Macaca mulatta: one gene and its partner. The protein of the gene in region 1 interacts with the protein of each later gene in a pairwise test. Links are inferred from orthologs where the notes say so. Each region holds a gene or a part of one and is shown on either strand. Other genes may lie near its edges. The genes, in order: FLACC1 and SULT2B1.

The links.
Region 2: the proteins of FLACC1 (region 1) and SULT2B1 interact in binary tests that used the Homo sapiens proteins (3 or more experiments, as listed by UniProt). The two-hybrid records come from large-scale screens. The link is inferred for Macaca mulatta from reciprocal best matches to the Homo sapiens genes FLACC1 and SULT2B1.

The regions. Positions count from the first base shown.
Region 1 is NC_133417.1:106,399,411-106,402,119, reverse strand, and holds the end of FLACC1 (flagellum-associated coiled-coil domain-containing protein 1), read left to right. Parts: intron 1-185; coding exon 186-275; intron 276-403; coding exon 404-513; intron 514-1,190; coding exon 1,191-1,317; 3' UTR 1,318-2,157; downstream 2,158-2,709.
Region 2 is NC_133424.1:61,059,672-61,062,873, forward strand, and holds the end of SULT2B1 (sulfotransferase 2B1), read left to right. Parts: intron 1-2,128; coding exon 2,129-2,394; 3' UTR 2,395-2,414; downstream 2,415-3,202. UniProt on the Homo sapiens protein: Sulfotransferase that utilizes 3'-phospho-5'-adenylyl sulfate (PAPS) as sulfonate donor to catalyze the sulfate conjugation. Responsible for the sulfation of cholesterol.

The DNA of each region.
Region 1 (2,709 bases):
AGGCTGAAGAGAAGGATATACATGAGTGAGACAAGGAGGAGGTAGGACTGACAGGGTGTGAGTGGCCATGAGTGATGCAAAAGTAGCTCAAGTTGCTCCCTTGCATTACAGTCCAGGTGCCCTGGAGAAGAAACTAAATAAATAGACATCGGCATGATGTCCTGCAACAAATTCTTCTTATGCAGGTCATGGAGGAAGAATTGCATGCACAAGCCCTCATCCTAGAGTCACTTAACGCAAACCTCTACTATACCCAGGTGGAACTCCAAAAAGAGGTGAGTCCCTGCTAGAGTGGGGATGGGGGTTGGGGGAAGAACCTAGGTCTCTGTCCAGCTCTGCCGTATAGCTCTGCCCTGGATGGCTCTGGGTTGGGGAAGATGGCTTTAAAATATTTGTCTTTCAGAAAGCTATAGTGGGAAATCTGGAGAAAATGCTTCAAACCAAGTGTGCTGAAACTGAAGAAAAGTATAAGTACACCATACAGATCCTGATGGAAGAGAACATTCATCTGAAGTGCGGCTGCTGCTGAAAAAGACATGGCTGAGTTCTCTTTAGGAGTGGGAAGGAGTTTGAGTGAGGAATGGGTTAGGAAGATAGACCAAGTGCTCCCTAGTTATGTCAAGGCACAGGCATTTTCAGGAGGGAGGTGTGTCACTGCAGGCCAGCGACACAAAGCCAGATAGTTCACTTGAGGTGGAGTAGAGATGTGTCTACACTTCTCCCATTCACCTGTGTCCTTGTTGCTGTGCAAAACAACACAGGAAATTTATCTCCCAGTTTCTGAGTTTGCTCAGTTCTATGACTGAGGGTGGTTTTTAAATCCATCTCCCCTGGGAGTCTGATGGTCTTACCATTACATGCAGCTGCTTCTGGTTCCTATGGAAATCAGCTTTGGATCAGAAGGTGTACTGTTACCTGAAGCTGCATCTTAAATCATTAAAATAAATTTTGGTCAATACTTTAATAGAGGAAAGTTATTTTTATTGCATTGATTTAGTAGAAAATTCCTCATACAGGACTTCAGTCACCTGAACACCATACCTCACTAAATTCAAAACCACTGGAAGTAATGAGTGAGAGACTGCTGTGGTGAAGGAATGAAGGCACATTGCTCTCCCCGCACCCCAAATATCCTATACCCTTTCTAGCTTTTGAGTTGACATTGATACATCTTTCCTTTCTTTTTACAGGCAAAAGGTAATTTCTAAGAATGAAGAAATGTATGAAGAATATTCTGGGAGATTGGCCTCTATCACTGTTTCTAAGGATGATTCTGACACTGTGGAAGATGGTAGCAAGAAAAGACAAGAATCATAAACATAAAGTCGCTCTCCATTGTTGAAGATGGTCGGCACACCATTTCTGTAGGCCCCGGAAACTCCCGGCAGGGTTTTCTTCAGAACATGTGTATAATGAGTTTAGTTCTTGGGTTGCTCTGACTCTATTTTTGCTCTCTTCTGAGTGGCTGAAAATGTTTGAATTCTCATCTGAATTTCACAGCTTATCACGGACGCTTCATTGAAAAATGATGCTCTCCGTACTGGGAGCTGAGCTTTCTCTGAGTTTTGTACTATTTTTCTTCCACCTTTATGTATTTCATAGGAAAGAAATAGATTTGAAAGCCTTCTTCCTATTGAACTTTTACTATATTTGGGGGGGGGGGTGTACCTTTGTCCCCTGGGGCATTTAGGTAGCAAAAAAAGATGATGTGTTGATTTTATTCTAAAACCTTTTTCTCTCATACCCATGCCCCCTACTTCCCTACCTCTCAATCATGTTCCCTGACCTATGACTTAGGAAGGGTTTCTGATGATTCTTACCACCTTCTCTGGACCATCACCAGAATTCAGACACCCACAGGGCAGGCAACATAAATAAGTGAAGTGGGCTAGACACAAGGAAAACAATTGCATAAGCATAAGTGACAACTGACAGCAGCCTCAGTAGAGGGGCTTGGGCAGGGCTGGGGCACAACGGGTGGAGAAGAATGACCTGCAGAGCACTGTCTCATCTGAAGAAGGTGCTTCTCAGACCTTTGCCATGCAAAAGCATGAGGTCAATATTGTCAGATATTATTATTTTTTCAAAGAAGGTATCCTGGTTTTTATGTGATATCTCCTAATTTTTAAACGTTGACAACAAATTTTAAAAATACAACTGTGTGTGCCAATCATGGGAGACTCAAGTAGAACATGCCTGTGGTCCAGATGTTTTCCACCTGTGAGATGTCATTGGCAGAAACCAAAATCAAACACAAAAAAATCTCCAAGGAGCAGTAAGATCAAATCATACTTTATTCTATTAAAAAATATTTTTGAAAAAAGATACTTAAATTTTAAAGATAACTTAATTCCTAATGATTTAAAATAATCCAAGCAGAGATGAAAGAGCAAATGCAAATGCATAAAAAGACCCACAGCATTGTTAGCAAAAAGCAAATATAGTTAGCCAAGCCTATATGCATCATGAAAGCAAAAGAAGGCAAAAAGCAAGTTTGGGGATAAATTATGTAAAAATTGTAAAATAATTTGAATTTTTAAAAGATTTCAACAAAATTTTGTTTTATTAAAAAAAAATTTTGGCTGGGTATGGAGGCTCACATCTGTAATCCCAGCACTTTGGGAGGCCAAGGCGGGCAGATCATGAGGTCAGGAGATCGAGAACATCCTGGCTAACATGGTGAAACCCCATCTCTACTGAAAAATACAA
Region 2 (3,202 bases), on another chromosome or scaffold:
CACGGCAGAAATACTCAAACTTTGGGTTATGGGGTGCAGGCGGCAGCGCAGTTGTTTCCTCTTCCTGCTGTAACGAACACCGCAAACTCCATGGCTCAAAACGACACACGTTTACTCTTTTTTTTTTTTTTTTTGAGACGGAGTCTCACTGTGTTGCCCAGGCGGGCTGGAGGTTGCAGTGGCGCGATCTCGGCTCACTGCGACCTCCGCCTCCCCGGTTCAAGCGATTCTCCTTCCTCAGCCTCCTTGAGTAGCTAGGACTACAGGCACCCGAAACCACATCTGGTTAATTTTTATATTTTTAGTAGAGATGGGGTTTCACCATGTTGGTCAGGATGGTCTCAATCTCCTGACCTTGTGATCCACCCGTCTCAGCCTCCCAATGTGCTGGGATTACAAGTGTGAGCCACCACGCCCGGCTTTTTTTTTCTTTTCTTTTTTTTTTTTTTTTTTTTTTTTTGAGATGGAGTCTCGCTCTGTCCCCAAGGCTGGAGTGCAGTGGCTCAATCTCAGCTCACTGCAACCTCCACCTCCCGGGTTCAAGCGATTCTCCTGCCTCAGCCTCCTGAGCAGCTGGGATTATAGGCATGCGCCACCACGCCTGGCTAATTTTTGTATTTTTAGTAGAGAGGGGGTTTCACCATGTTGGCCAGGCTGCTCTTGAACTCCTGACCTCGAGTGATCTGCCTGCCTCAGCTTCCCAAAGTGCTGGGATTACAGGTGTGAGCCACGGTGCCCGGCCCCTGTTTTTTTAAATATGTTTTTAATAAGGACAGGGGTCTTGCTATATTGCCCAGGCTGGTCTCAAAGTCCTGGGCTCAAGCAATCCTCCTGCCTCAGCCTCCCAAAGTGCTGAGATTACAGGTGTGAGCCACCGCGCCTGGCTGCATGTACTTTCTTAACATTTCTGGAGGTCAGGAGTTGGGCTAAGGTCTGTCTCCCTGGGCTAAGCTCAAGGTGTTAAAAAGGACATATTTCTTCTGAAGGCTCTAGGGGAGAATCTCTTGCCTCACCTTCTCAGTTGTTGACCCACCTGCATTCCGAGGCTCATGGCCTCTTCCTCCATCTGCCAAGCCACCAGAGAAGCATCTTCTTCTTTCTTTTTTTTTTTTTTTTGAGACAGAGTCTCTGTCACCCAGGCTGGAGCGCAGTGGCGCGATCTCGGCTCACTGCAACCTCCGCCTCCCGGGTTCAAGCGATTCTGCTGCCACAGCAGAATCCCTGAATCCTATCAGCCCCAGGTTTCCAGGTGAGGGGTGATGCCCTGGTGATAGTCCCACAGTGAGAAAACTGAGGCTTGGACTGGGTGCAGTGGTTCATGCCTATAATCCCAGCGCTTTGGGAGGCCGAGGCAGGTGGAGCACCTGAGGTCAGGAGTTTGAGACCAGCCTGGTCAACATGGTTAAACGCCATCTCTACTAAAAATATAAAAATTAGCCGGGTGTGGTGGTGCACGCCTGTAATCCCAGTTACTCGGGAGGCTGAGGCAGGAGAATCGCTTGAATAGGAGGTTGCAGTGAGCCGTGATCACACCACTGTACTCCAGCCTGGGCGACAGAGCGAGACGCCATCTCAAAAAGAAAAAAAAAAATAGAAAACTGAGGGTTGGAGGGTTGCTGAGGCTTGCGTGCTGCGCCAGTCCGCAAATTGGTTGCCAGCCCTGAGCACAGTGCCTGCAGAAGGGCGTCCCTTCCATGTCCCAGCAGTAATGGCTGCAGCACGGAGTGTTGTGGGGGCATTGAGACAGGAGGCCTTGTTCTAGCAGGGGAGGTTTGGGACTGGTCGCAGAGGAGGTGACACAAGCTGTAAGGTGGGCAGGAATTCGGGGTTGGAGACAGAGGTTCTAGGCAGAGACTTAAAGGGTCCGGGATAAAGGGGAGGACTGACAGGAAGCCTGCAGTAGCAGAGGCAGTGAGGGTGGAGGTGAGAACGGTGCCAGGTGACAGGCCAAGACTCTGCCACCATAGGACACAAAGGGGGCAATGTGGAGGGTGGGGAGGATGGTGTTTCTGGCAAAGGGAACACCTCGCCAAAGGCCGGGAGGGGTAAAGAGGGTGCTGGAATGTTGGAGGTAGGGGCACGGTGCTCCCCAGAGGCTTCTCACCCCCTGGCGCGCCCTCCCCTCCAGGGGTCTGCGGCGACTGGAAGAACCACTTCACGGTGGCCCAGAGCGAAGCCTTCGATCGTGTCTACCGCAAGCAGATGCGGGGGATGCCGACCTTCCCCTGGGATGAAGACCCGGAGGAGGACGCCAGCCCGGACCCTGAGCCCAGCCCCAATCCTAAGCCCAAGCCCAGCCTTGAGCCCAACAGCCTGGAGCCTGAAACTAGACCCAACTCCAGCCCCAGCCCCAACCCTGGCCAGGCCTCTGAGCCCCTGCACCCGCGACCCTGAGAATAAACACGTCGCTTCTGCTCAGGTTCCTTGATGCGCTGTGGCGGGGCATGCAGCGGGGCGTGGAGAATCCTCACCACGCCAAGGCTTCCAGAGGCCGGGTTTCCCGACTCAGAGTCCTGCCCAGAGGCAAAGGTGCTGCAGGAACCCAGCGCTGGGCTTTCCCGGGCTGGGGGCCTGATCCCCAGTCTGAGGTAGAAGGGGACTGGGGGCCTGGACTCCCGGGTCTGAGGGAGGAGGGGCCGGGGGCCTGGACTCCCGGGTCTGAGGGAGGAGGGGCTGGGTTATGGACTCCCGGGTCTGAGGGAGGAGGGGGCTGGGTTATGGACTCTTGGATGCAGAGCCAGGCTTTGGTAACGAATGTTTTTGGCATGAAGTGGTTTTATTCCAAGCAGACGTAAAGGGGAGCTCCGGCAGACCCGCCCTGTCAGCACCCACAGAAAGTCCCGCCACCCACCCCGTTCGCCTGTGGCTGTGGCTGTACCACATTCCAGTCCCTCAGTATTCAGCTCCATGCCTCAGTTTCCCCACAGCTCCTGAGCACAGTGTGCATGGCAGCGACTCCCCATCTTCCCCTCCACAGCTCCAGCTCAGGGCCTCAGCCGAACCCCTCATCAGGAAGGCCTGACCCTCGGGAGCTGCGTGTGCGTTCTTTAGGATCCGCAGCGGGGGACGCTGCCGGCCCATTTTCTCGGCTGTGACACTGAGGTCCGGTGCAGGCAATGGGCTTGCCAAAGTCCATTTTCCTTTTTTTTTTTTTTAAGACGGAGTCTCACTCTATCACCCAGGCTGGAGTGCAGTGGCGTGA